Rattus norvegicus: one gene and its partners. The protein of the gene in region 1 interacts with the protein of each later gene in a pairwise test. Links are inferred from orthologs where the notes say so. Each region holds a gene or a part of one and is shown on either strand. Other genes may lie near its edges. The genes, in order: Ap1g1, Ap1s2, Ap1b1 and Ubl7.

Region 1 (7,778 bases):
AAGAAACTGAGGAAAACAGAGCCCAAAAGCAAAGGCCTGTAATCCAAGGTCTAAAGAGGCTGAAACAGAAAGTTCATGGGTTTAAGGCCACCTTGAGACCACACAGTAAAACCTTGTTTCAAAAACAAATAAAAGGCTGCTGTAGAAGTGTGAGCAGTTAAGAGCAATATAATTCTTTCAGAGGACAAGAGTTCAATTCCCAGAACCCACATGGCAGCTCATAACTGCTCTAACTCCAGTTCTAAGACTTCTGACGTCCTCAGACATATGTGCAGGCAAAACAATAAAAATAAAATAAAAATCAATTATTAAAAATAAATAAAAGGACCAGAGAATGTCTCAGCAGTTAAAAGCATTTGCCAAGCAAGGTGACTTGAGTCCACTCTTCAGAACCTGTGCACAAAGCGTATTTGGCTCATTTGTAATTCCAAGATGGAAGGCAGCGATAGAAGAGACTGCCCCAACATGGTAGCAGGCAAGAACCCTCAAGTTGCCCTCTGGAGACTGGAGATGCTCAGAAGTTAAGAGCACTGACTGCTCTTGCAGAAGACCCTGGCTTGATTCCCACCACTCACATGGGGACTCACAACTGTCTGTGTAACTCTAACTTATGGCCTTCATAGGCACCAAGGATACATATGATGCCCAGACATCACACATGCAAAACACCAATACAAATAAAATACAATTTTGGTTTAAATTTAAGTTGTCTTCTGACCTCCACACTCTCCACAGCATAAATATGCATGCACTCACAAATACATTCACAGAATTTATAAAATTTCAAAATATAAAGTGATAAATAAGAGATAAAAGTAATGGAGATTTTTTTAAAAGCCTAAAATCAAGGCCTGAAAACAAGTCATACAGCATTAAGATTAAAATGCAGGTCAGGTATGGTTGTACATACTTTGATCCTAGGAAGAAGGCCTAGGCAGTGAGAACTCTTGAGTTCCAGGCCAGTGTGGTCCACATACTGTGTCCAGGACAGAAAGAGGGCTACCTAGAGAAATCCTGCCTTAAAACAAAGAAAGAAAGAAATTAATAGAATTAAGATGCAAGCACCTAACATAAACAGATGGATGGACAGATGGATGGATAATAGATGGATAGACAGAGAGACAGACTGGTAGATCAGATAAGGCAGATAAGTAGATTAGATAGATAGGTAGGTAGATCGGTAGACCAGATAAGATAGATAAGTAGATTAGATAGATAGGTAGGTAGGTAGATTGGTTGATTTGTTTAGACCAACACACAGCTGGAGCTCCCTAGAGGCAAAGTCAGATCCCTGAAACTGGAGTCACAGACAACTGCAAGACGCCATGTGGGTGCTGGGAACCAAACTAAACCTTGATCCTCTGAAGAGCTGTGAGTGCTCTTAACCACTCATCTCTCCATTAAGGTTTTATTTTTACATTCTCCCCAGCTAAATCTAAGAGTTTTCAATGTTTAATCAGTTATGTCCCATTATATATACAAAATGTAAGTCTCTATCAAATGCAAAAAGGGATTAAACATTTGAAATCTGTCTTGATATGCAGATTCCAATTCAACTTTTCAAATTAAAAATAACTTTTGAAAGAACTCATTTAACCTTTTATGCCTACAAAAGGATTTTTTTTAATGATCCATTTAAACTATTTGAGTTTTTATCTGCTTTGTATACTGTTTAGTTTTTTTAGGAGGTAGGGTAGGAGGTAGAGTAGGACAGAACCTACAGCTTTAAGTATGCTAGGCTAGCACTCTACCATGAAGCTACATCCCACTACCTGACTTTTTAAAAATAAGCCTGGGTTAAATATCAGCAAGACATTAATGGAAACCTCTATATTTTACAGTTTTATCCTAAAATTCACCCTTAGATTATATAGTTGCTGTCAGCAAAACAGACTGAATCAAACATTTTCCTTTACCAAAGCAACTGAGTGGAGCTGGACACACATCCTCGGAGCCTGCAGCCTGCAGCCCCAACACTGGGAGAAGAGAAGTATACAAGTCCCGCCAACCTGAGCTACATAGGAAGACTGTCTCAGAAACCAAAGCTGGGCCAGCACTGCTGGCAGAGGCCTGTTAATCTCAGCTACTCAGGTAAGGTAGGAGGGTCGCAAATTAAGGCCAGCCTGAGCAATTTAGCAAAACCATGTTTCAAAAAAAGGGAGGGGAAAAGAGGGTAAGGAAGAAGGAAGAAAATAAATGGAAGTTTACTAAACATAAATGTTAACTTCCAGTGCAATTCTCAACAGCCAAGAGACAAAGTAGACATTCATATACGTGCTGCTCAAGGGTACAGGAAACAGCACTTTGCTAATAATTTGTTTAACAAAAGGATACTTTCTCAAGGTAAACTGTAAACCATCTAAGAATGAATGATATTTAAATCCCAGTATGTTAAACCATACCATGAACTGAGTTAAATAACTATGATAGCTTTCTCAATACTTGTTCAAAAAGTGAACTCAAAAACTGAAAATTTCAGCAATAACAAACAAGGTGACACTGCTGAGTTCTTAAAGCAAAAGAAAACTGCACAACTTCGGAGCAGCACACTCACAGAACTCGTGTCTAACAAGAATTAACCTAGTTCTGAAGGAGCTGCTAAAAACAAATAACAAGAGCACAGAATATCTACACTGAAAATACTGTCCTCTGTGTCACTGTGTGGCCTGTAAAGAACTTACCTTTAAATGTAAAGAACTTACCTTTGAAATGTAAAGACATTTCAAAAGCTTAGTAAGAATAAAGAAAGCATCACAGGGCTGGAGAGGTGGCTCAACGGTTAAAAGCATTGACTGCTTTTAGAGAAGACATGGATTCAGTTCCCAGAACTCACAGGGCAGCTCACAACTGCCTAGAATCCCATTTCCAGGGGATCCAAAAGACCTCCGCTGGAACTGAGCATGCCCGTGATGCACATACTATGTATGCCAGCAAGACACTCAAACATAAAAAAATAAATATGTCTTCCAAAAATGTTAAATACTGCATCAATATAAACTTTACAAGTATTGAGAGATTTAACTTGGTTCATGTTATAAACTTAGGTTTCCGGCCACTCATGATCTCAAAGAAGTTGTTTCTCTTTTGCAGATGAAAAACCTAGGGTGAGATAAAACGGGGGTGATTCAACCACACTCACCTAACTTGAAATGTAGGAAATAACCAGTGAATTATTGTGAAATGTTCTTTATTCAAGCATACTGGACTGCAAACAGACTTTAACAGAATTAATGAAGCTATCATTACTTCAAGGATCCACAGGTTTCAAATCGAACCTTAAGAAGTTTATAGTCTGGCAAATACTACGGGCAACGGTGGAAATGGATGCTTAAAACCTAGCTACTCTGAGAAAAGTCAACATAGGAAGTCAGCAAAGATCATTACTATACAAACACCTGAGGGGTGCGGTCACTAAGAGACCATTCAGCTCGCTCTTCTGTTAACTAATCCCTATAGGAACTAAAAAAGTTATTTTCCTTTCTACCTACGTCAGGTTATTATTCTCCAAGGGCAGCCTTCCATGCTAAGCATATATAACACCAAAAGAAAAAAGTATCAGTAAGTGCCCCAAACTCAGTTTTCAGAACAGAAAGGAAATCCAGAAAGTATTTTTGACAGCTCCTTCCCACCCAAAGCCGCTTGACCCGCTTTAAACCCATTTACTGCTGAAATACACTCTAAGTGGTTCGACGGCTCTCCAGCACTAAGCCCCCTAACTGGGAAGCATAACCGACAGTTCCAGGCAATGAGGAAGATCCTGAGAATTCCTAGAAACTGACGTCCGCAGAACCGAGAGTTGGAGAGGAGAGTGAACAGCGCGGTCGCAGGTGAGTTCTTAAAAAGGAAAAGAGAAAGAAAAAGAAAAGAAAAAAGAAAAAAAAAGGGCGAAAATGTTTGAAAGAGAAGTTAGTTGGAAGGTTAAAGGGAGGCGAGGCCGATGTCCGGCTCTGAGTGGACGGCACTGCAGGGACAGGCAGCTTTACCCCTGCGTGGGAAATGCTCAGAGTTCTCAGATCTGACCCGAGTCCCCGACACAAGAACGCTGATACGTGGCTCAGAGAGGACACGCGGGGGTGGGGCCCGCCCCGCTAAATCCTAGGCTCCCTGAACCAGCTTTCAAAGGAGGATAGCAGCTCGATAAAGTCAATGGGTTCAAGGAGGCCTGCACCGGCCAGACAACCCCAAGGTAGGGAAAGCGACGGCGCACCGGAGCTCCGGTTCTGAAGCTTCCGAGGGTCGGCCCTCAGGAAGTCCGAGCAAGCCCGGGGCTCCCCGGTCCCTCCTGACCCAACCTGGGTCCTCCTCACCCCCCACAGGCTGAGTCCGGACCCCTGGGACTGACAGGAGGTTTCCAGTCAAACGCTCGCAGCTGCAGTGGAGCCAAAGACACAACCAGCTCTCAGTGCCGCGAGTGACACTCACCGGCCCGAAACCTCGAATGAAACCAGCAGCTTCGGGGGCGGCGGCAGCAGTGGCAGCAGGAACCGAACATCCAAAATGGCGGCTCCCTCGGCCTCACCACCGCTACTGCAGGCGGAGGGATCCCAGGCGAGGAGGGAGTTTCTAACTCACTTCTCGCGCTTCTCGAGAAGACGTCGCTCCTCCGCTCCCTCTCCTCGTCCACTCCGCGTCCCTCCAACTGCAACCTGTGCTCTTTCCCACCTCGGATGACCCGAGTACTCGGACCCTGCTGAGGACTATTTGCCGAGGAGGAGGCGACTGCGCCTGGCAGAGCGACGCAAAGCGTAGCAAGGGTCGGGGCTGTCACTGATGACGCTAGACGCGGCTGCCGAGTCACCGCTGCGAGGAGTCTGAGCTAGAAAGGTCCGGCCCTACTCCAGAGTCAACGCACTTTGGTTCCGCTTGGTGGCGGGGTTGGGGAAGTGGTGCAGCCGGGAAACGGTGGGGTCACCTGAGGGGGCGGAGCTCAGCAAGGTAACTCAGGAAGTCAGAGAGGGCATGTAGCTAGTGTTTCCAAAAGAATTCTTAAGTGGTTCGTATCACCTTTGAATCCTTAGCTTTTCTGATCAAATTTAGCAGCATGCCGAGTAGTTTTGGAATCCTTGGTTTTATGGTATCTTCATAATTTTTTTTGCAAAAACAGAAGATGAAACCGAAGAATGGATCCAAGCACAGCACCACCCTTTGTGTGTCAATCTCACCAACGATTCAGTTCCCTCCCGTGAGAAAAAAAGAATCTGGACAAAAGACAGCTAAAACTCTTCCAGAATAGGCTTTCAATCTATGATTGAATGAACTAATAACCTGAAGCAAAGAAAGTCTAACTAGACAGTTCCTGGTGTGATAAATAATTACTAACTTGTGACAAAAGTCTTTTCCATGTGAACCTAGAGATCCTTGATATCTTGGCCCATTTAAAGGAAAGGTGACCTACCTAGAATAAAATCTTTCCGATAGATTGGCAACAAAGCCACCCGGGATGTGAATAAAACACAATAGTAGACTGAATACCACAGACCAGGAACTAAGCACAAATCCTGAGTTTCAGACTTGAGTGTCATAAACAGGAAGTTGCAACTTTTCCCTTAGGCATTCGTTTTTCATGCAAGGATTTCAAAATACTTTACCGACATTGAACTGGGTAAGTCTAGGCGTACAATTTTGACCTTGAATTTCTGGGGCATGCCAAGTGGCTGGAAAGAAAGGACTCCAAGGTCATGATCAAATTTATTAACTATTGGTGTCTCATTGGTCATAATGCACAACCTAGCCCTCTAAGCAATCTCTTGAGTCGAAGTAAGTAACCTAAGTTTACAAATGAAGAGATTTAAGACGAGAGAAATTACAACTGTCTCTCACAATGGATTCTGCATTAAGATGTCATCTTAAACAGAAAACGCACCACACCCCAAACATGTATTCCAATCCAGACCCACTGATTTAGACAACAGAATATTTATGAAATTCAGACCCTCCTACCCTTCTTTGGTGCATCTGCCCTGAGCAGCCCCAGGTACAGCCTAAGACTAGAACATCATAATGCTAGCACTCTAAGCCAGGAGTACTAATGAAACGTGCCAAATTCACAGTGAAATGTCCATAAAGGAAATCTTCAAGCAGAGACGCAAGGCAAAGGTAGCCACGTTTTTCACATGGAAGATTAAAATAGCTTTTAAGAGCCAAAATTAAGTGTTTACCATAGCAAACAACAAAAGAAGTTTTTTCCTCTTCTTTTCCTTCTTTTTCTTCTTCCTCTTTCTGCTTCTCCTCTTCTTCCTCTCCCTCCTCCTCCTCCTCCTTCTCCTCCTTTTCTTCTTTTTGAGACAGGGTTTCTCTGTCTATCCCTGCAGCATCAGAAACTGTAGATCAGGCTGGCCTGAAACTCAGAGATCTGCCTGCCTCTGCCTCCTAAGTGCTAGGATTAATGGCAAAGAGATGTCTTCTTAGGAAGGACTTTGAGGCAGCTGTGATGGCCACATCTATCTGTAAACTCAGTTCCTAAGAGACTGATGCAGAGAGACTGGGAACCCCCAGTAGATAGCCTTGGCTGCATAAAGACTGATGTCACAACCTGCCCTCCCTCCAAGAAAAGCTGAACACTCAAAGGAAAAGCGCAACTTAGGCCCTTTCTCTGTTGTTGTTGTTGCTGTTGTTGTTGTTGCTGCTGCTGCTGCTGCTGCTGCTATTTTCTTCACTTGTATTTTTCTTTAAATTACCACTCTTTGCCTGATGGGGTGGCATACAATGGAATCCCAGCACTTAAGTGTTAGAGGCAGGAGGATCAGAAGTACAAGATCATCCTTGGCTACATAGCAAGTTTGAGGCTAACTTCAACTACATGTGACTCTATCTCAAAAAGATTAAAACAAAACTGTAGATATCATCTAACTATCCTAATGTGACAGATATTCAAATGTTATTAAAATTAAGTTTGAGACGCTGGGGAGATGTTTCGATAGTTAAAAGCACCTGCTGTTCTTACAGAAGACCCAAGTTCAGATCCCAGGTCTCATGTCCGACCACACCAGCTACCTACAACTCCTGCAGCACAGGGTCTGACACTTCCTTCTGGCCTCCAAGGACAACATACACACATACACACTCATAAATAAACACTTTAAATCTTTTGGATGAGCTTCCTAAAATTGTACACATACATGGAAAAAGATTGAGTAACAACATTAAAATATGAAAAGTATTTGCTTCGGATAGGAGGGTTATTAAAAATGTATTTCGAATGAGTAGACATTTATCAATAAAAGTTTTCACATTTTGAAAAGGAATGTTTATTAGAAAATACTCCTCACCCAACTCTGGTAGTAGGGCTAATGGAGACTTGAGACAGACTCATGTACCTCAGGCTGGCCTCAAACTTACTGTTTAATCTTAAGATGTCGACTCCTCATCTCCCAAGTATTAAGATTGTAGGTGTTCTCTTGCACACCTGGCAAGAAAATGCAGTTTTATGTAGTGTAAAAATAGTTTTAAAAAAAAAAACAGGCTTTTATGTAGCCCAGGATAGCCCAAATTATCTGTATAGTTAAAGACAAACTTGAGCTCCCGATCCTCCTGCCTCTGCGTCTCAAATGCTGGTATTACACCGTGTCTAGTTTATGCAATACTTGAGATAGACCCCAAGACCTCGGACATGCTAGGCAAACACTTTACCCAATGAGCTATCACTCCAGGGGCTGTGTTTGCTGTGTTGTGTTGTCTTGTTTGCATGTATGGGATCGAACTCTTGGTCTCTTACATACTTGGACAGCTCACACTGAGCTTTGCCCCTAGCCCCTGGCTTTTGTTTTTTGTTTTTTGTT
Region 2 (7,778 bases), on another chromosome or scaffold:
CAGATGTTATTTACTGCAGTATTGCTCTAACTTCTACTTGAATCGCCCATATTTTCAATTTGTTAACTCTTTATTTAAATCCTAAGTATTGCAATATGTTGATAGTGCACCCTGACATCCTTAATGACCTCATTATATTAATGCCTCTTCACATCATCCATGTGGCCATGTTTTAGATAATTTATAAATAATTGTATGTACATTGGTGATTTGCCTACATGCCTATCTGCACATCTCTTGTGTGCCTGGCTTTTAGAGAGGTCAGAAGAGGGTGTCAGACCCCTGGGAACTAACATTACAATTAGGAGCTGTCATGTGTGGGTGCTGGGAACTGAACTCGAGTCTTCTGCATTAGCAGCCAATGTTCTTAACCAATTAGCCACCTCTCCAGCCCCATGTGGACATGTTTTAAACACTGCACTGTTTTTCCCTTTTTGTTTAGTCATAATTTGAGATGGAACAGACATAAAAATGGATGGGTATCAGAAATTTAATAGGATACTATAATTATTTATTAAAACCTTAGATATTATAGTATCTTAATTTTATTACTAAAAAATAGCATCTCTATTTTACCCTCACATCTTGTATTTAGCAGACATGACGGCAAAACACTTTTTGAAATTTAACCAACAATACAAATTCTGGTTATTAATTTTTCACACATGATTATCGTATAATTTTCCACGTTAACATAAAGAAGGCAATATCACCCTGAAAACAAAGACAAAGGAATGATAAGATTATATATTGACATGACAGATGAAAAAGGTAGTAGGTCAGAGGCAATATATATATATACACATATATATGTGTATATATATTTATTTATTTAAAACAAACCCTACAATTTGAGAAATGTGGAAATCAAAGTCAAACTAGCTAATTACTAACAAAGATGGTAGCCGTGCTTCCTTTTGTCTTTCACAGTGAATGCACCATTAGCACTTCATACTAAGACTGGGGAATAAACCATCTATAATCTACTGAAAAAGACCATCTGCTTCTATAAATTTTGTACTCATATACTTGCCAAAGGAAGAGAACGTATTAACAAAATAATGGGCCCTGCTCTGTTAATTGTAGGTTGTTTGCAGTTTTGCTGTTGCTATTAGAATTTAATAAGCCATTCCTTCTGCTAAATTAATAAGCAGCCAAGATTATGTAATAGCTGCTTTCAGCTGCTAATTATTTTCCCATAATTCCTTCTCTACCCCAGCCCTTCCTTCTCTCTCTCTCCTCACTCCTCTCTCCTCTCTCTCTCCTCTCTCTCTGGCTAGGAACACAGAATGAAACTGCCAATTAGCAAGTCTCCCATCATTTCCCGAGCTACTACTAACCAACGTTAGTAACATATCCAATCAATTTAAACTTGGGAGGTGACTACTTAGGAACCTTGGAAGACAGGTGTTTTGCACACAAAAAGAAAAGGCAGTGTTTAGAATTAGAAGGCAGTTTTTCATTATGTAGTATTAGTGCTATCTGTGAATTGGCTAAAAAACATCGGTTCCTTGTATGAAGGAAGAGAAAGGACATTAGCATTTCAGGGGCATGTTTGAACAGGAAACAGAAATTTGGGCCGGGGGGGCCTAAAGACCCACCAAAAGCCAATTCTGCTTTTTGTTGCTCACTTTAGTATATTTCACTCACACGTGCTAATATGAAACTTTCCAAGCAGCATAGTATTGCTGGAAAAGGGGAAATATTCTAGTTTTATTTTTGCTAAACAAAAGCATTTACAAAATGACCTCAAATTCCTATCATATATGATCCTATTACATTGGTACTGTAAGACATAAAAATCAACATTGATCTCTAATAAGGGGTTTCTTTAAATTGAATAAACACAACTTCGCTAAAAATGTAGCATCTTTTCCCTTACATTGGTTAATTTACAATTCCTGTTTAGCAATCTCTGCAAAGAAAGGCATACCCAACAAATACTCAGTTCTGGCTTTTTTTTTTTTTTTTTTTTTTTGTAGGGACGGAGGTGACTGTAGTAATGAGTAGCATTTGACATGGGAAATCCATCGCTGCCCAAGCAAGGTCACCTAATCCCGTGGATCTCCACTCCCCTTATCTATAAATGATAAGTTGAACTAGATGATCCATCCATTCCAGCATTCAAATAAAACATAGAAATCCATCATATGCCCAGAACTAAGTCAACATTTCAGCTTTTAATAAATCTATCATTATTTTATAATTTTATTAGGCAACTCACATTTATCAGTGGTGTTAAAACCAGGCAGGGAGCTAGATTGTTAAACGAATAAAATCCAAGGTGCACTAAACAGAAGCATGTGGGTAAAAGAGGAATTCGTTGTTCCAGGGCTTTAGAGTGAGGCTTCATAGATGTGACATTAGAGGAAGGGCATGGCAAGCAGAGCGAGTCGTCAGCAAAGCTAAACTGGAACCCGGGTTGGGGAAGGTGGGGGCGAGACCGTGAGAAGGAAGCGGGATCTGGAGGACTAAGCGCTGTCTGGATTTTTGCAGCAGAGAGCGGACCACAACTCATCCAGTCCGCCGCACTGCTGGGCGAAGCAAGCCCTGCAGAAAGGCTCTTGCAAAGCTTGGGGCCAGAAGTGTCTAGGTTAGCTAGGGCTGTAGCACTGCGTTGGAGAGGAGGGGCCTCCTTGCAAACGCGGGCGCGAGCACCACGAAAGCGCTGACTTATTTTCCCCAGAGTTGCAGCACTCCTGTCCTTGCTCCCACCATCATCACCCACTGTCACATCTCCCCGTCCAACCCTCTGGGGACCCAGAGAGTCATCGGAGCTCGAAGTCAGCTCTTTGTAGTGCGGACCATCCTTAGCCTGCACCACGGGGTCAGCTAAGGGCGCCGCGGAACCCCATCACCCTGCCACTGAGGAAGCCAGGACAGCCGGGTGCGCTGCGTCCCCGCGGCACGGCCATAAGTACGCAGGCGTGCCGGCCACAGCCAAAGCCGCTTCCGGGTCACGTGGCCAGACTTCCGGCCCTCGCCACGCCTTCCCTGTGGCCATTTGACCAATCGGCTTCTCGTTCTTGCCGGCAACTGTGCTGACTCTAGAGGCGGTTGGCGCCCCCTCGGCAGCTTGGCGCGCGTCCTCTGGTCCGCCTCTCAGCTCACCGCAGCCTGGGCTCCTCCTTCGTCCAGCCTCCAGGGCGGGATCTGTTGGCTCGCCCTACCCTCGCCGCCTAAGCCTGCCCTCCACCAGACGGGTCCCCTCCCCGCGGCACCACGGCTTCCCTTCAACAGCCTGGCGACGGGGGCTTCCCCTCAGCAGCTGCCGGCGCCTCAGTCTCCGCAGCCAGCCAAGCTCCGCCGCGTCCGCGGCCCGCAGCCGCCGTAAGTGTTGAAGAAGTCCGCTGAGGTGGCAGGGATGGAAAGAGGGAGAGATGGCCGGGGCGCGCCCCCCGTTGCCCCGTGAGCGCCCCGACGACCCCACCCCGAGTCCTCTTGGGGCGCCGCGCCCCAAAACTCACTTCTGGCGGCGGTAGCGCCCCGCTCTCCACTCTGCGGCGCGCCGGTGATACGGGGGACGGTCCTGGGTTCCACGGGGACCCCGCGGCACCTGTGGTTCGCTGATCGCCTCAAGTTTGACGGGGTGTTTTGGGGAGGGGCCGGGGTGGTGGCGACCGAGGACTTGGCGCCCCTGGCGGGCCAGCGGATGCCATTGTCTCTCTCCACTCCTTGCCGGTCACATCGCCCAGCTTTGGGCACTGATGGAGTGTGGTCCCGGGAGGAGGGGAGGCGTCCAAGACTGCGGGACCCCAGGGATGCTGGACCAGAGCCCACTCCAAGGCTGAGCTCATTGTTGTTTTTTGTTTTGTTTTTGTTTTAATACCAATCTGGAGAAATTGTTGTCCCAGGATTTGAGGCAAAATCAAAGCGAGGGAAAAGGAATACTTGTGCCACGGGTTTCGTCCCATGTTAGCACATCATTTGTTTTGAGGAAAATGCTTGGTTTCTTCGTTCTACAAAGTGTTAGGGCGGATACTAGACCCCGTTACAGATAGCCTAGAGCACACCCCTGTCATTAGCAAACCGTCTCTCCTGGTCGAGATTTAAGAAAACCGATCGGTTCCTTTCCCAAGTTCTGTTAACGGTCGGCGTTCAATGTCCAGTTGATGCTTTACTTGCCGTTCTCTTCGATGCCGCTGTCTTAAGGACTTACACGGGTAGCACTTTGCTCTCAATGAATTATATAGAGTGTTGTGTGGAGTAATAGCCAATTTTAACTTTATTAAAGTTAAATGGCTACGCCATAAATATCCGGATGTTTTCTTGGTGCCTTTTTGTTATATTGTGAGGTGGTTTTCCTGTCGAAATTTAGAGCCAATTTGATTTTATATTAGTTACGTAAATTCCTCCTCCGTGTGTTCATGTTTAAGGTAGTGTGGTGAATATTAAGAATTGTCCTTGAGAGGATCTTACTTGCACTGTCACTGTTAAAGGAACTTAAAAAGGTTAAAACAGAACACTTATCCGAATTTTACCTTCAAATTAGCTTTACAATACAGCCCATTTTTACCAGTTGAATTATAAAATACATGCCTTAGAAAACAGACTGACCAACAGACATGCAAATGCTAAGTAAATCCATACAAATTAGCTTCAATATAAAATATACTTGAATCCAGCATACATTCGAATGTGGTTTCTGTTTGTTTGTTTGTTTTAAAAGATGTATACTGTGTGATGTCTCAAAATGTTGTTTTAAATTAAATATCCTGTGTTTCAATATGGGTAACTTTTGGGTAAAGCTTTTTAAACTTCTATTCTCTTTTACAGACATTAACTCAGTTTTTGAGTGCTTATTTATGTTGTATTTTATAAAAGAGAAATGAAAACATAAAAAATCAGACTTTTGTCTTTAAAATGTACTGTGAAATATTTGACTAATATTCTGTTTTGTTTAAAATATGCTAGCATAAATTGAAGGGAGTGCTTGAAATTCCGCCTGGAACTAGAATAGCCTCAGGGTGAAAATAGTAGGTCTCCTCTTTCCTAGAAATGTACCTAAATCAGCTACCTGATGTCTGCATTTTCCTTTGATGCATGTAGAGTGGTGGAGTGTGGAACAGGTAGAAAATTGTTTCCTGAAATTATCAGAGTTTTTGTTCTTCAAAAAATTCACTCCAGCTTACCACCTGTTCTGCTTTTTACACACTCTCTTCTACACTTACCTACATACATATAGTAAGAAGATCTTTCCAAAAGAATTCCATGCTATTATAACCTCCATAGAAATGTTGATGGCTTATTGATCATTTGTCAGGGCGTTTACTGTGCCCCCCAAAGCGGCTCTGAAAATCATGTGCTCTTAACTGTTGCTCCGAGGTAATTGTATGTAATCTTGATTTTATTTATTTTAACAGATGCAGTTTATGTTGCTTTTTAGTCGTCAGGGAAAGCTTCGACTGCAGAAATGGTATGTCCCACTGTCAGACAAAGAGAAGAAGAAAATCACCAGAGAACTTGTGCAAACCGTTTTAGCACGGAAACCCAAGATGTGCAGCTTCCTTGAGTGGAGAGATCTGAAGATTGTTTATAAAAGGTAATCCTTTTTTTATTTATCAGAAAGGTGAAGTACTGTCAAGCATTAGGGTTATTTCTAATGAGGAAATTGCAGACTTTTAGGTCAATAAACAAAGATTAATATTTAAATGAAATAAATTTGAAGGAAAACTTTCCATTTAAAAATAAGTAACTGCTATTTTGATTGCTTGCCTTAGGGGAATCATTTTTTAACTAATTATATAAACAAGAGAGACAATTATTCATGCTTAATCACCATTTTAGAATAATTTAATAGATTTATTATAGGAGTAAATAGGGTCAGTATTTTAAATTTTTAAGTACTTTAATAAATTCAGATATGCATAGATAACAGTGTAATAACTCTTTCTTACAACAAATTTATAAAATAATAACCGATATTTGGTATTTCTTTTCTGATATTTAGAATCAATCTTATTCATAAATACCCTGGACACATAGACTATCTCATTATACAGATATTTAAATACTTTGTATATATACAGTATCTCTTTCCTAATAGCATTTATTAATTTGAAATAGACTTGTTGCTGTGAAGGAGTTATGCTTAGATATGATAATTTTACCACGGATGGATATTTTTAAATGATGTTGCAAAATAACTTATTAAAAAATAGCTTTTTGCACAGTTCTTTTCTTTAATGCTACACATCTTTATTTTGTTGGTAAACAAACATTTTCTAAGCAGTTTAAAAGAAATATAATTTCTTTTATATAATGTTTTTGAAGGAACATTTCCTTATTTCTTCCCTTATTTCTGATCCCCTTTGAATAATTTACTGAATTTAAGATAAAAGCATTTCTTCATATAAAACATTCTCTTGTATGGGGAGTGCTCAGAGAACTAACAGTATGGAATTCAATGAAGGTAAAGAGAAGTCTAGTTTTCTATCACTACATTTCAAATATGGATGGGTTTTGTGGAGGAGGTGGCAGGGGAAGTCATGGAGATTAATAGGACATAGAGACACTCTTAAGTACATTAGATTTCTCTTCCTTTCATAGATAAATTCATATCGGTTTGGGTGATTTTGTATCCAACGTTTGGCTTAGTGTTTGTTGAGAAAGATAATAGCATTTGCAAACTGGAAGATGCCTTAAGAACACACACACACACACACACACACACACACACACACACACACACAACCTTTTTGCCCAAGGATAGAATCGTGAATAAAACACGTAGAAAAGAATTGCTTTTCTAGAATCAGAAATAAGAATCCTGCACCCTGGATCAGTTGGTCTCTGCTCTCTGCACAAAAGACAGGTCCTGGATTTGAAAAACAGTTTATTGTTCAAATTTCAATTTATAAAAGATGAGAATTTGTGAGTGGTGAGTTGGCCCAAGGTCATATACTAGTGATGGGCTTGTAGATATGGAAAGATAGAGATCAGGTTTGCACTTTCTGCAAAGACTGAGGTAAAAGTGGCTGAGGAGTGGGCTGAGACTGGCCCCTGCAGGATCAGTAGGGGACTGCATCCGAATTGGTTCCTGAGCTGAGAGCCAGAAAGGAGACCTGTTACGTAGGAAAGAGGGAGTGGAATCACCTTCATTTTTAGAGTTTGGCTTATGGGAAGTAAGGTAAGCTAGGAAATTCAGTTAATGTGCAGGCAAGTTGATGTGGCCTTTATTGTTCCCTTGGCCCTCTGATGGGATGTGGTGGGCATAGACGTGGAACTTGAGTGTGGAAGTTAGCCATAAGGTTATCAGCCAGCATGCAGCTGCAGGGGGGAGTGATAAAGACAGATGGAGCCTGCAGATTGAAGTGATAAAGAAGCAAAAGAGTGATGTCAGGTCAGTAAAGTCACAGAGGCAGAGAGATACGAGAGTAAGAACACTAATTCCAGGTTCCCATGAAGTTCGCTAAAAGTGGAGAGCTCTTCGATTCTTGTGGTGAGAGTTTTATGCCTTGACTTTTGCCAGAACATTTTCAGTGGAGGTAGAGACAGAACTTTGGATATAATGAGGCAAAGGTGGAGAGGTAGAGAAACGAAACAGCATGTATAGAGTATTTAAGAGAGCTTTGCCAAGGACAGAAGAGGTTGTAATTATCCATAGACATGAATTCTGGATTGCTGGACAGGGTTTATAAAAGGTGTGAGAAGTTTAAGCTTATTTCTAGATAGTGAAAGGAGTCCCCCGTGTGGAGGAGGAAAATCCTAGCAAGAGAACAAGCCCATGAATGGGCCATTCGAAGGGGAAAGGAAAGAACAGGTTGGAGCACATAAAC
Region 3 (7,180 bases), on another chromosome or scaffold:
GCCTGTGTGTGAGATCAACCAGCTCCCCCACCTCACCCCCACCCCAGCGCCCCAACTCCATTCAGCCTTTAGGGAATCGGGGCAATGAGAAGGCTGAGGAGAGCTTGCTGTGCATTTTTAGCAGTCTAGCTGAGCAGCCCTTCGACACCTTGGTTCCCGTTTCTGCAGTCCAACATGGCCTCCAGGCTCCTATCACCTTAATATTTCTCCTCACCACTCCTGTCTCTTGTCCTACCTGAAGCCAAGGGCCTGAAGCTGCTCTCTATCTCCACCTAGTTCTCTGGGGAATTGGTGTGAAAAGTCATCTTACAGCATGGGGTAAACTGCTCACGACTGTCTCCTTTCCTCAGGGGAGATCTTCGAGTTGAAGGCAGAGCTTAACAGTGACAAGAAGGAGAAGAAGAAGGAGGCAGTAAAGAAAGTGATTGCATCAATGACCGTGGGCAAAGATGTCAGGTATGCAGGAGCAGGCAGGTGACAGCCAGGTGCTGACCAATATTGAGGCTCATAGCTTGGGTGCAGGTCGGCTCTTTGGCTCCTTTGGACAAACCTCATTTACAAACACAGGATTCTGTTTGCACACGAGTGACAGGCTGAAGTGCTAATGGCTCAGACAAGAACTGAGTGGAGCAGACTAGGTTGAGAGGGCAGCTGGCATCCCAGAGGGTGCAGCAGAATCCAAGGCTCCAGAGGAAAATGGGCACAGTACAGCTGGGCATTCTGGGCTGTTTGTTTTTCCTGAGAACAGGAAGTATGTTTTGTTGTCGTTCTCTGTTCTGACACTCAGCACCTGGTCTAGTCAGTCTTCATGTCCTATGAGGTTGTGTCAAACTGCCTGTCAAACTGAGAAGTCTCCAGAAGATACAGTTCATTTCACAACTGCTCTGTATTTTCATTGGCCCATCTACAGAAAACCTTCAGATGCATTTTCTCAGGTTCTCTACACGGCCCATTGTGAGCAATGATGTTTCTTCTGCCAAAATAAATGAGGCAATGAGGAAAATTACTCTGAAATAGTCACACGGCTAACGCAGAAAGAGAAATCAAACCTGGGCCTTTCAGAACCCAGACTTTGTCGTCTGTGTGTGTCATGGTCCCTTGCACATACCACAGAGGTTCTGATACTCCCTAGCTGGACCTTACAGAATGCCCCACTGTCCCAGGCTTCCACACAGATTGCCCACGCCATTGCTGACCTTAGGAAGGCCTTCCTACAGCCAGTCTAGGAGAGTCCCTAGCACAGACCTTGTTAGAACAGAGTGTAAAAGGATTGGTGTCTGGGATATGAGGTGCCTCAGGGGGTGAAGGTGTCTACCACCAAGCCTGGTGACCTGAGTTCAATTCCCAGGACCCACAAGGCTGTCCACTACTACTTGTTCTCTGACCTCCACATGTGTGCTGTTGCCCACGTGCCCTAGTGTGTGCACACACGCACACCCACACTCAATAAACTGTAATTTTAAAATATGTTGAAAGATGGGGTATCTCTAAGTCTCATACTTTCTAGAAGGAAAAGGTTTTCTTCAGTTAGAACAGTACTGTCACTTTCTAACAGAAAATAGCTTTGTTCTTCCTCCTTAAAAGAGCTTGCTCTGCTCATGACTCCTGGAGAGCCATTCAGACTCTTCACTTCCTCTTCCTCTCTCCACAGTGCTTCTGTTCTTCTGGTGTGTCATCTTCCCAGGTTACTTTGTCCTCTGCAGCTCTGAGGGAACCTGGCCTGTGTGGCACCCCCTTCATGTTCTGTTTCCTAGTTCTTGGTAATAAAGACAGATGATGGCTCAAATTCCAGAAAACCCATCTGTGCGTTTCACATCTCAAGGCCTGTACTCTGGGACCATTATGGGACCTGTTGGAAAGAGTCCTACCAAGTACAGCAACGGTCATAGATCTGATTCTTCATGTTGTCTGACATTTTGGGAGGTGGTCGTGTGAGTTGAAGACAGAGCTTCTTTGTGTAGCCCTGGCTGACCTGGAACTCTGTAGACCAGGCTAGCCTCAAACTTAAAGATCCACCTGCCTCTGCTGGGATTAAATGTGCCATTCTGCCTGGTCAGTGTTAGATTAATAAGATTCTTTAAAGGCATGCACCACCACCACTGTTGGACATTTCTTAATTCAGAATTATTTGACATGGGAACACACCGCTGGCCTCCTGGGGCTGTTAAAGGAGATGACGTATGTCCACTCCTTAGCACCAAGTCTGGCACACAGCATGTGTCCATATACCTTGCTGATTCGTTGTGGGTGCCACACTGTTCCCTCAGCCCTGCTTCCCTGAGATGCTCTATATGGGACCAATGGAGTGTAAGGAATGGACAGAGAATGACAATTCAGCAAAGACCAGAAGCTTCAGGAATGCTCTCTCTCTCTTTTTTTTAAAGATTTATTTATTTATTGTATATAAGTACACTGTAGCTGTCTTCAGACACACCAGAAGAGGGCATCGGATCTCTTTACAGATGGTTGTGAGCCACCATGTAGTTGCTGGGAATTGAACTCAGGACCTCTTGGAAGAGCAGTCAATGCTCTTAACCACTGAGCCATCTCTCCAGCCCACCAGGAATGCTCTTTTAAGTATCACAAAGGCCTGGAAAAGTGGGTTTCTGGAGGTGGGGAGCAGTACGGGAATTGAACCCTGGACCTTGTGTGTGCTAGGCAAGTGCTCTACCATTAAGTCCCAACCCTAGCCAAAGTCAGCTTCTGTTGCCCCTTCTTTACAAATGAAGAAACTTTCCCCTGCTTCTCCCTGTCATCCCTTTCCTACCCTGCAGTTAGATGTCTGAAAAGCCCACTGTTCTCAGTCTTCAGCCTCTTCTGGTGCTCCCTTGATCTTGCAGTGCTCTCTTCCCTGATGTGGTGAACTGCATGCAGACAGACAACCTGGAGCTAAAGAAGCTGGTGTACCTGTACTTGATGAACTATGCCAAGAGTCAGCCTGACATGGCCATTATGGCTGTCAACACCTTCGTGAAGGTGAGCAGAAACCTGGTGGAAGTGGGAACAGGTGAAGACTGCTCACTCTCTCATGTCCGGAGTGCTTAGCACCCGGGCTCAGTTGCAGATTCACACACAGGCTTCCTTCTGCCTATTCAGGCTGAGGCCCTCTCCCTCCAGCAGAGGGCTCCCTCTCTCTCCAGAACCACAGACCAAAAGACCGCCTCATTCAGTCCCCGTGAGGTGGCACCAGGCCCACTGGTCTCTCATTCTCCTGTGTCTGCTGCCAGCACAGACTTCAGGAAGCACCCGAGAGCAGCTCCGTTCCCTCCATATGACTCCTTTCTGTGTTTCTGTTCCCAGATGAGGAGCAAAGCATGAACTTGGACGTTGGCTCCTAGTCTACTATGCTCACATACAGGAAAATTAGGGGTTTCTGTGGCTGTGTGTGCCTTTAATTCCAGCACTCGGGAGGCTAAGGAAGGAGAATTGCTATGACAATAGGTTGTAGCTAGGCTACATAGCGAGTTCCAGGCCAATCTGAGTAGTATCCCAAGACCCTGTCTCCAAAAGAAAAGACTATGGTGCTAGGAACATGGAGGTCCGGATTGCCAGTCTGCTCTGACTGGGTGAGCCCATAACCACCTCCAAAGCCTTCCTTGGTTGGGAAATGGCCTCAGGATGCAGCAGAGAAAGGGTATAGAGCCCATATGTGGCAAATGCTTGGCATCCATTCTGTGGCATTTGCTTTGAGTATTGTTGGCTGTGGGCAGTGGAGATCCCATAGCAGCTGCCTGATGTTGCTCAGAGCTGGAGGCCAGGAAGAATAGGAAGCCACAGATGACTCATCCTGCCCTGCCCCTGGCCAATGACTGGTTCTCCTCAGGACTGTGAGGACCCCAACCCCCTTATCCGGGCCCTGGCTGTGAGGACTATGGGCTGCATCCGAGTTGACAAGATCACAGAGTACTTGTGTGAACCACTCCGGAAATGCCTGAAGGATGAAGACCCATATGTGCGCAAGACAGCAGCTGTGTGTGTAGCCAAGCTCCACGACATCAACGCCCAGCTGGTAGAGGACCAGGGTTTCCTGGACACACTCAAAGACCTCATCTCTGACTCTAACCCCATGGTAAGTTGCTAACAGTCATCGTGATGCCTCCACAGACCTGGATTGCTTGAGAAGACAACCTGACTTTCCACCTTAGGAGTTAGGCCCTCGCTGAATATCTAATTGTGCTCCCTCCTTGCGGTAGTTGGCAGGGAACGAGGCCTGGTTTTCCAGTGGCCTCTCAAACGAGCTATATTTAGGAAAGCTGCCTAATCTTTCAGAGCCCTGTTTGTCTCATTGTTAGATTTTCAGGAGGTCACATACCTGACCTCAGCTGGCCTGCTCCGGCAAGCAGTGACTACAGTCAGTGCTATTGTCTGTCCCTTTCCAGTTGCTGTCATGTCAGTAACTCCTAACCAAGACTTCCTGTCATTTCCAGGCATGTAGTCCTCTTTCTTGTAGGGTTGAAATGGCGTCACCTTACAGTACTACAGTGAGCAGAACAGGACACCAGGATGCATTAGCTGGGAACCCCGTCCCCTCACTCATTCTGATGGCAGGAGTTTGCAGTGAAGTTTGTTGGGACCTGTAATCCCAGCAGTCAAAAGGCTGAGTCAGGAGGATTGAAAGTTAAAGGCCAGCCGTCTATACAAAACGAGATCTTTTCTAAAAATTGAAAACTCTGTAAGAAATCAATGGAATATTTAAAACACTGGGCACTGCTCCCACTTTGTATCCAACAGAAACACCGATTGCTTATCAACTAAAGGCTGCTAACTAGAACACTGTGTCATAGAGGAAAGTTGTAAACATTGTAGACTGTTCAGGAAAGGAGTTGTCCTGGCCAAAACATTCGGTAAACCCTCCTTAGCCTGCACCCATCCCCTACCAGCAGCCTTGAAGAGGTAGATCTGCAGGACTTCTGTCTCTGAGCAGCACAGCTGACAACCACTGCAGTGAGCACTCTGGCCAGTAGAGGGCGGCGGGCTTGTGTTTCAGTGTGAGGTCCCTGGAGTTGGGCTTCCCTCTTTCCAATGGCAGATGTACTGATTGTAGTTTTGCTTTACAGAGGATCAGTGGGGTGAGTGCTTGCTGTAGGCCAGACTTTCTTGAGGCTCTAGAACCTACCAATAGGATCACATCATATTCCTTACAGAACATCCCATAGGGTCACACCATAGTCCTTACAGAGCATCCTATAGGGTCACACCATAGTCCTTACAGAGCATCCCATAGGGTCACACCACAGTCCTTACAGACTGTCCCATAGGGTCACACCACAGTCCTTACAGACTGTCCCATAGGGTCACACCATAGTCCTTACAGAGCATCCCATAGGGTCACACCACAGTCCTTACAGAGCATCCCATAGGGTCACACCACAGTCCTTAACAGAACGTCCCATAGGGTCACACCACAGTCCTTACAGAGCATCCCATAGGGTCACACCACAGTCCTTACAGAACGTCCCATAGGGTCACACCACAGTCCTTACGGAATGTCCAGTAGGGTCACACTGTAGTCCTTACAGAATGTGCCATCTTGATCTCCTAGTGTCATTAGCCCCTGTGCTCCCTGACGTGAGCAGTACCTCCAGCCTCTACCCTTCTGTCCTCTCATCCAGGTGGTAGCAAATGCAGTGGCTGCCCTGTCAGAGATCGCTGAGTCTCACCCCAGTAGCAACCTGCTTGACTTGAACCCACAGTCTATCAACAAGCTGCTGACAGCCCTTAATGAGTGCACCGAGTGGGGCCAGATCTTCATTCTGGACTGTCTGGCGAACTACATGCCCAAGGATGACCGTGAGGCCCAGAGGTGAGCAGACAAACCCTGGCCAGGAACTGACAAGGATCTGTCTGAACTGAATCAAGTTTTGTAGCTTCAGAACCACTGACTTTTTTAGGTACTTGACTCTGCTAGGTGCCTTCAGTGTTAGGTAATCTTTAGAGCAAGTCTGTGAAACGTATCCTATCATCCTTGACCACCTCACAGACAAGGAGACTGAATTAGTGAGAGGAGGAACTGTGTAGTTTACCCAGCTGGATCTGTCTTGACCAATGAGTGAGTGCTTTGGCAGTAGGGAGGGAAAGAGCTGACAGTTGGAGGTATCTGCCGTGTGCCAGCCTCTTACTCACTCTGTTCACTCACATGCCTACAAGCCTGTGAAGTAGATATGTGAGTGCATCAACTCTCAGATGAGGAAACTGAGGCTCATGGTGTCTTGGACCTGTGACTCAGTAGGTAGCAGACAAGAAGGCCTTCTTCCTGTGGCTCAGTGGGTAGGGTGACGGCTGAGCATGCATGAAGCCCTGAGCTGTGCCCACACTGCATGAACCACGCTTGGTGGTGTGGTGGGTCTTCTCAGCGCTTGGAGATGAAGGCAAGAGGATCAGAGTGTTAAAGTCAGTGGCGGAACACTTGTCTCAGACATGAGGCCCTAGGTTCAGTGCTACTACTGGAAGGAAAAGAAAAGGGGGTGGGGGGTAGGAAACAACCTTGGCTTGAGAAGCTCATGGGCTGCATAGCAAGTTTAAGGCCCATCTAGGTTACATCTGTCTCAAAACAAAAGCCAAAAAGACATGCTGCTGTGAAAAGTGAAAAAGGACCTTTTTCCCTTGTCTCCTTCTCTTTGCTCTACTGTGACTGCTGACCGCAGCATCTGCGAGCGGGTCACTCCTAGGCTTTCCCATGCCAACTCTGCTGTGGTGCTGTCCGCAGTGAAGGTCCTGATGAAGTTCATGGAGATGCTGTCTAAGGACCTGGACTACTATGCCACACTACTCAAGAAGCTGGCCCCTCCCCTGGTCACACTGCTGTCAGCAGAGCCAGAGTTGCAGTATGTGGCTCTGCGCAATATTAACCTCATTGTACAGAAAAGGTAAGGTGACTGCCACACACGTCTGCCATATGCTGGAGACAGGGACCCTCGGGGAAGACTGATCTGTCACCATGTAGGAAGCCTGAAGAGTGTAAGGGGTTCTCAACCAGAGTACCTTTCCCTTTAGGGACACTTGACAATGTCTGGAGATATATTTGGTTCTCACAACCTGAGGCTGCTACTGGCATCGAGTGGGCAGAGACCAGGGACACTGTCAGTATCCTACAGTGCTGTAGAGTCCCAGGTCAGTGGTCAGTACACTGGTCAGCCTCAGAGAGGGGGAGCACAGTGCTGCCTCGCCCTGACACCGGGCA
Region 4 (7,761 bases), on another chromosome or scaffold:
TTTAATTAGGTGACTTTGAACAGATATACTTCCGATCTTGTTTTTATCTATAAAGTACTAAGTGTTATTTATCTACCATGTCCTGATTGTGTAATATACTGGAAAAAAAAAAAAAACTAGCTTGCAGAAACCCACAGCTGTTCACTCTCTTCAGTCAATGTCCTCTAGCTGAAGAGCAGAGAGACAGACCTGTCCGGAACAAGCTGGGCTCGATGCTCAGTATGTAGAGGAGAATATATACCATGAGAACTCCAGAGCAGCTCAATCAGAGGATATTAGAAAAGTCAGAGCATCTGGGCGTGGATGTTCTTCTCTGGGGTCAATTTTATTCTTCTGCTTTTAATAGCCGTATTCAAGAAAAAAGGCCAACCTGAGAGAGGTAAAAGCTCAAAGTGGAAGAGGCACAGTCACGCTCATCAGCCAGGGAAGGGGTGTGATCTCTGGGTGTTTGGACAATGAATAGCTTTGTCTCTGTTCAGAAATGCCAAGGATCTTATCTTCCACTTGACTCATGATAGTCTCAGAATCTCCTTGTCTGATCATGGTGACCCCTATAGCAGAGGGCTCCAAAGTCTGGCTGAGAGCATCACACCAATCCTAGGATGCCAGGCTGCTTCTCTCTCTCATTTCCCAATGGATACAAAAGAGGTTTTTGTTCCATTTAGAATTGAAAAGATAACTTTCAAATTAATAACTACTCACAACAGACACAAGCAAAATAAAAAATATGCCAAACTGCTAGTTTAACAAAGCTGACTTCCTTTACATAGCTTAGCTTTATACTCGGAGACACTTTTAGAGCACAAAGACAAGATCTAAATTGTAAATTCCAAGCAGCAATGTGCATTAATAGACTAAAAGGCTTTAGGTTTCTTCAGGAGCTCCCTGAATGCTGGTGGAAATCAGCTATGAGCTCAGGAGGCCTGACTACTCAGCTTACGGAACAAACAACTACCTGGGGGAGTTTGTGGGAAGATCTGCTTAATCAAAAACAAACTGTAGCATTACAAAAACAAAGTAAGTTTTGCTTTTGTCTAATGAGCACAGCAACAATAATAAAAGGATGTAAAGTTTACAGAAAACTCAACTGTTACTCTAAAGAGTTTAAAGAGGTCCACACACACTACACTGTTAGAAAACAATGGTTAATGAACTTATAAGTTAAAAAACAAACAAACAAACAAACCCATCTATCATTAGTGGTGCTGACAGTAACAATGTCACATCTTATCAGTGGGGATCTAATCCGATGAGGAAAAGATCCTGCCTATCTCCATCTTGATAAATCATCCAGGACTGTATCTCAGGAATACACAAGCTCTTCCCTTGGAGGGATTAGGAAGTTCTGCCCAACCCACTGAGGACAAACCCTCCCTTACCAGGTTTCTGATCAGGCTCAGGCCAAGATTTTCGGAGAACATGAACTGTGGATCCAGGCTGAATACCATAGAAGTCAAGAGTCTGGTCATCTTTAAGCTTCCGGCCACAGTAGATCAAATCTACAAAGAAAACAAACAAACGAAACCCTGCCCATTTATATTTTCTTTCTCAAAGCAATTTGGTTTCTATCTCCTGAGAATCTTATTTTAATTAGACAGGTCTCAGGAGAGAGGGAAGCACCTCAGTGGGTAAAGAGCACTTGCTCTGCAAGCATTAGGCCCTAAGTTCAAGTCCCCAGCTCCCACACAAAAAGCCAGGCATGGCTGCACATGCCTGTAATATCAGTGGCTAAAGAAGGAGTGCAAGCTGATCAAGAACTTGCAGGCTATCCAGTCTAACCCAAACTGGAAGAACAGGTTCAGTGCAAGATCTCATCTCAAGGAAATAAAGTAGATGAGAGAGGGGAGCACCTGAGATCCCATTCAGGTCTCTTCATGTGCATGAAGTACGCATGAATGCATACTCTTGCACACTCACATACATGTACGACATACACACAAAAGAAGACACTCTCCCAGGTGCAGTGGCACATATCTATAATCTCAGATATTTGGGAGGCTGAAGTAAATTTGAGGCCAGCCTGAGCAGTTTATTAAAGATCGAAAAGTCAGATAAACAGGCTTTGGGTACAGTCAGAGGCAGACTAGTTATCTAGCATATACGAGGCCCTGGATTCAACAGTCAGTGCCTATGAATGCTGGGGGACATTAAGATAATACATTTTGACTGCTGGCATTCAAGAAGCAGAGATAAATGGTGAGTTTGGGCCAGCCTGGTCTAAATCCTAAGTTCCAAGCCAGATGGGGCTACAAAGTGAGACCCTGTCTCAAGATCATACAAAACCCCAACGTTTAAAACAAACTAATCAAGTACAAATGCTTATTTAAGAAATATATCCACGTACTCCTGTAGAGCTCAATACTGCAGCGAGTGCTTAGTCCAAATAAATGGGAAAAAAATTAACAACAAAATAAGAGGCAGCTACTCCATCTGTGACAGGAAATGTCTGCACCAGGTAGAAGCTTTGGCTCTCATAATTTATTCCCAATCTAATCTGACTGTACTGTACTTATGTCCTCCCTCCCCCCACTAGGAATACCTTGTCAACCTCATTTCCTGTTTTGCTGCCTTCCCTTTAATCAGCCATCAAGGCCAACCAAAAATCCTTCTAATTATCCCTTGAGCCTTACCTGACAGGCTGAGGAGTCTTGTCTCACCAGCAACTCTTTGCTAATTTTGTTCTCTCAGAGAAAGACCTCAGCAATATCACAGCGAAGAGCCTTCAGTAATAACGTAGCTTGGTGTAACATGAGACTCAAGTGGCAAATGATAGTTTTGTGTTTCTACTCATATAAAACTTAACTTTGGAGTGAGGCAACAAACCACAAGCCCTTAATTTACTCTTTTACCTCCTCTCCCAGAGGCAAGAGCAGCAACCCAGCTGTAGCCAACAGAGACTCACCTATCAGCTCCGGGTCTGGAACAGATTCCTGGAGCTTGCCAGCAATAAGCTGCTTTAGAAACGAAATGCTATAGCCCCCGAGGGAATATTCTCCCAGTTCTGTCTCTGGCAACTGAAGAATAGATTTGGGAGCAAGTGGCTGGTCAGCCAGCTTCACTGCCAAGTGCCAGTCTGAGAGAGACATCCTCTCTCTCTCTCGCTCTCTCTTTCTCCCTGTAAAACAGTAAGGCATTAACGGTTAAAAGACAAACCACCATCCTACTCATCTCTCCCTGCGACAAAGAATAAAGGAAAGACAATGTCAGTGCAATACCGCTACAGAAGCACGGGTGTAATGTTAAGAGGCTAGTGGTGGACAGCAAGGAATTTCTCTATGCCTCAGTTTCTTCACCTTTAAAGTGGGCACAAAAGGCCAACCAATTGGATAGGAATGTTGTGAGGGTCAAACAAGATCATCCAACCCTATCCCTTTTACCCACTGATTTCTGGTGTTCTTCACCTTTTGATTTAGCTATTACAATGCTTTAAGGAGCCCTTGCCTCTCTTGCCTCCCGCTATCAGAGATCTATAGCGCCACCCAATGCCATATTGTTAAAACACAGATCTAACTTAGAAGCTTAGACCGCCTTCATTGATTCCAAAACACCTCTATGATCAGGTTAACTCCACAGCCTGGATTACAAAACCATTTATTCTTACTCCTACCAGCTTTCTTCAACAGACCCAGCCCTGCCCCTTTATAACAACACAGGTAAGTATACTTTATAACAAAGTTGTCCCATATATTTCCTCTCTTGGTCACACATTCCCTCTTCCCTCAAGGTAAGAGAGCAACACAAATCAACAGATTTGAGGACAAGTCAGCCAGCTTCATTACCAGATGCCAGCCTTAAAAAGCTATCTTCTCTTCGCTCCTTTTTCCTTATAAACCGTATTTACTTCGCAATTTCTCACTGCTTCCCTCACACCTGTGACCCGCCCCCGCCTCCGCCCCCTTTCTTGAAAGCCTTGAAAGCCAAGACTAGAGCTTTTCTTTTTTTTTTTTTTTTTTGGTTCTTTTTTTTCGGAGCTGGGGACCGAACCCAGGGCCTTGCGCTTCCTAGGTAAGCGCTCTACCACTGAGCTAAATCCCCAGCCCCGACTAGAGCTTTTCTAATTCACTGTTCCAAGCCTGGCATATATGAATGCCCACAAAAATAAATCTAATAACTCAAAAGAGTGCAAGAGCCTTGCATCACAAAGCAAGTCCTTGTTATAGACACCATTTCTTCCGAAGAGGTCTCTTGCGGTAGAGACAAGACTAAGAAAAAGCTGTGATGCGACCCAGCCAACTTCAAGGTACTATCCATCTACAGGTTTAAAGCGAGGAAAGAGTTGGACTTTTTGTATACCGATCTCGATCCTCGTAACTGTCCCCTGAAACTGGCATCACTATCCTTATTTTACAGATCAGGAATCAAGACTCAGAAAGCTGAAGTCACTTGGCCCAAGGTCACAGATACCTAGTCGTGAGTAGGGACAGTGTTGACAACCCCACCTCTCTCGTGGGACCAGTTAGCTACTCCGGACCCACGAGAGCCCCGCGCGCCCAGGGGGCCCAGCGCCCTCACCCGTCCCGCGGAAGGAACCCGGCCGCAGCAAGCCGCCGGTGTAAACACTCACTCTGGTCCTCTTGCCGGAAACCGGAAGCCCCGCGCTGCATTCTGGGGGCTATAGTTTTCACTGAGGCCCCGCCCCTTATAAATGGCCGTCCAGTGGCTAGTGGTAATGCTTCCGGTTCCTAGGAGGCGTGTGTTCGAGCACTTTGAGATCCTAGGAGCAAGTAGGTTGTAGTTTTCTGTCAGACAAAATGTACCAGCTGAGGTAGGGAAACTCGGTGTGGGGTTTTCGTAAGCAGTCAATAGTCCGATGATTCCCGCGCTCTCTGGGATATTTTTGAAGCTTGTTGGTTGTCCCGCGTTTGGGTGGGCCGTAGGCCAGAGGGCGGACCTTCTCCGAGGGGGACCGGTTCCTAAGTGGACAGGAGCCCCGCGGCCCTTTCGATGTAGACGCACTTCTCCCACGTAGTCAGTCTCCTGTACTTCTTGCTCCCTTCTCCCAGGGAACCTACCTTGTGGCAGCGCACCAGGGCTCCAAAAGTTGAGTCCGTAAGAGGAGTGATTAAGTCGGGTTTCTGGCCCACCGTGAACATGCAACAATGGGGTTTATAACACAGTCATTCATAGAATCTGTTTGGGGAGGAGAATTTCCACTGAACTGAGACACTGCTGGTTTTACATGACTGAACTGAGAAACTTCTGCAAGATCAAATTGTATTGTGTTTACACAAAAGTTAGAATTAGCTAAACTCAAGAGAGTACTGATTGATCTCAGAACATTAATTCGAAAACTAAGGAAAACGATAACCAAAACCAGAAACCTACTTTAAAACTGTGAAGTTGAGGGACTGGTGAGGTGGTAAAGGCAGCAGGTAAAGGCACTTGCATTCACACCTGAGGACTTCAGTTCCCCTGGGAACCACGTGGTGGAAAGATTGAACTGACTCCCCAAAACTGACCACACACACACACACACACACACACACACACAAATGTAATTTTAAGAAATAAAGTTCCGGCTGGAGAGATGGCTCAGTGGTTAAGAGCACTAAGTGCTCTTCCAAAGGTCTTGAATTCAATTTCCAGCAACCAAGTGACTCACAGCCATCTGTAATGGGATCCGGTGCCCTCTTCTGGTGTGTCTGAAGACAATGACAGTGTAAATACATATATAAATCTTAGGGGGATAGTTCACAAAAGCTGAATACTGATTCTGTGTACACAGGTGTAAAAGCTATATCCTTGTACAGTCCACCATAGGACAGAACTCGGGGAGTAACTGAGTAGGATAGCTTGACAGAAAAAGCAAACTACACATACATGACTACCCCCTCCTGTTCTTATAAAGTATGCATGCTGGTAGGCAGTTTCACAGTTCCCAAAGTCCCTCTTCCCTATCCCATGCATCCACTTTTAAATATAGCCCCTCTTTCAGGAATTCCTAAGTGGCCACCCTCTTAGCCAGTTTTCTGTCTACTAGAGTACTGACACTTAAGCTCCACGCTTTATTTCATTAAATTTTGTTTAGTACTGTGTCTTAACCGTTTGCTGGAGATGTCAGGAATCCTATCTCTTCTTGTGTTCTCAAAATGGTGCTGAATGCTTGTGAGATTCTTTTGTTTGTTGTCATCATAATCTTCATGGAAAAATGGACCCTGACGGTCTTGTTTGCCTTCCATAGGTGATCTTTACCTGAAACATAGCAGGTTAGCAAGAAATATGTCTTGAATGAATAATCCAGGCCAAAGCTATTTATCAAATATGGCTGCCTTATTGTATGTATTGCAATGTGAGGATGCTGCGGATGGGCAAATTAATATAGGAGTAAGCTAAGATCAACCACACAGGTTCTGTGTGGACCCAGTTAGCAAGTAAGTACTATGCTCCCAAGCAAAGGTCAGGTCCTAGAGAAGGAAGGAGAAGCCTGGACATAAAGACAGATGTTTGGCAAGAAGGAAAGAGTTCAAAACCAGGTCCTTCTGCCAGTTCATATTTGGAAACATTGATATCCTTGTCAGACTAAGAAAGTGCTGGATGATCATTCATTAAACACTCAAGATACTATTTGGCGTAGTCAATAATTCTATTGAGAAACAAGTTGCAAGAATGGACATTTAAATTTTTATTAGTATTATTCTGGGGGAGCGCATGAATGCTCACAGCAAAGGGTGTAGGTGGGTGTGTGTCCTGATAAAAGTGTAGAGTCGGGTGACAGCCTCCAGGTGTTGAACCTCACCTTTCCATCTCACTTAAAACAGGTTCTCTTCAATGCTATGTAAAGCAGGCTAGATGGCCTAAGGGCTTCTGTACAGTCTCCCCTTTCAGCTCCCCCATCCCCTGGAATTACACTACTGCCTCTCTGTCTTTCCAGTGGGTACCTGACCCACTAAGCCATCTCCCTAGTTCAACATTATTAGTTTTGAAATGATGTTTAACAAGCTTAATCAAATATGAGGATTTCGGAGTCTCACAAGAAAGCAAACGAGGGGCTGGGGATTTAGCTCAGTGGTAGAGCGCTTGCCTAGGAAGCACAAGGCCCTGGGTTCGGTCCCCAGCTCCGAAAAAAAGACCAAAAAAAAAAAAAAAAAGAAAGAAAGCAAACGAAACTCACCTATAACAGTTCCTGCTGCAAACACGAATGGTGGAGCTGGAGAAATGAGGCAGTGGTTAAGAGCAATGACGTATCTTACTCTTCAAGGCTAGCAACTTCTCTGTGTCTTTGTACTTTTGTTTTCATTCAGATTGACTTGTTTTACAATTTTCACTGTTGATTATTATTTTCCTGGTGACTTTTTCTGAGGAGATGCATTTTTCTGCTTTTTAATTTTTTTTATTTATTTTGTGTATGTAAGTACATTGTCCACTCTCTTCAGACACACCTGAAGACACACACTTCAGACACATCAGATCAGTGTTTACAGATGATTGTGAGCCACCTTGTGGTTGCTGGGAATTGAGCTCGGGACCTTTAGAAGAACAGTCAGTGCTCTTAACCGCTGAACCATCTCTCCAGCCCTGCTCTTTTTTATAACTCTCAATTATTTCTATGAATACTTTGTTTGTGGCATTTCTTTTAATGGTGTGGGTGTTGCTAGTGCTGTCCCAGTGAATTAGTACTGGGTTTGTCAAGGTCCATGGACAAATTGTGGATATCCCTAGATGGTATTAGAAAGTTTCACCTCAAACTTATGCAAAGCACAAACTTGAGGTTTTACATCTCAGGGAAGAACCCTTGTCACACAGGTGCTCTTTCCAGATCCC

Evidence for each region.
Region 2: the proteins of Ap1g1 (region 1) and Ap1s2 interact in binary tests that used the Homo sapiens proteins (3 or more experiments, as listed by UniProt). The link is inferred for Rattus norvegicus from reciprocal best matches to the Homo sapiens genes AP1G1 and AP1S2.
Region 3: the proteins of Ap1g1 (region 1) and Ap1b1 interact in a two-hybrid assay, tested with the Homo sapiens proteins (2 studies listed by BioGRID, with this or other methods). The link is inferred for Rattus norvegicus from reciprocal best matches to the Homo sapiens genes AP1G1 and AP1B1.
Region 4: the proteins of Ap1g1 (region 1) and Ubl7 interact in binary tests that used the Homo sapiens proteins (3 or more experiments, as listed by UniProt). The two-hybrid records come from large-scale screens. The link is inferred for Rattus norvegicus from reciprocal best matches to the Homo sapiens genes AP1G1 and UBL7.

What each region holds. Positions count from the first base shown.
Region 1 is NC_086037.1:54,651,068-54,658,845, reverse strand, and holds the start of Ap1g1 (AP-1 complex subunit gamma-1), read right to left. Parts: upstream 4,746-7,778; 5' UTR 4,423-4,745; exon of another isoform or gene 4,317-4,422; intron 4,187-4,316; exon of another isoform or gene 4,056-4,186; intron 3,828-4,055; exon of another isoform or gene 3,691-3,827; intron 1,020-3,690; exon of another isoform or gene 911-1,019; intron 1-910. UniProt on the Homo sapiens protein: Subunit of clathrin-associated adaptor protein complex 1 that plays a role in protein sorting in the late-Golgi/trans-Golgi network (TGN) and/or endosomes.
Region 2 is NC_086039.1:34,226,115-34,233,892, reverse strand, and holds the start of Ap1s2 (AP-1 complex subunit sigma-2), read left to right. Parts: upstream 1-3,208; 5' UTR 3,209-3,330; intron 3,331-5,363; coding exon 5,364-5,542; intron 5,543-7,778. UniProt on the Homo sapiens protein: Subunit of clathrin-associated adaptor protein complex 1 that plays a role in protein sorting in the late-Golgi/trans-Golgi network (TGN) and/or endosomes.
Region 3 is NC_086032.1:84,115,762-84,122,941, forward strand, and holds part of Ap1b1 (AP-1 complex subunit beta-1), read left to right. Parts: intron 1-350; coding exon 351-456; intron 457-2,840; coding exon 2,841-2,976; intron 2,977-3,823; coding exon 3,824-4,069; intron 4,070-5,612; coding exon 5,613-5,803; intron 5,804-6,644; coding exon 6,645-6,866; intron 6,867-7,180. UniProt on the Homo sapiens protein: Subunit of clathrin-associated adaptor protein complex 1 that plays a role in protein sorting in the late-Golgi/trans-Golgi network (TGN) and/or endosomes.
Region 4 is NC_086026.1:67,213,965-67,221,725, reverse strand, and holds the start of Ubl7 (ubiquitin-like protein 7), read right to left. Parts: upstream 4,559-7,761; 5' UTR 4,513-4,558; exon of another isoform or gene 4,405-4,512; intron 3,116-4,404; 5' UTR 3,087-3,115; coding exon 2,903-3,086; intron 1,500-2,902; coding exon 1,380-1,499; intron 1-1,379.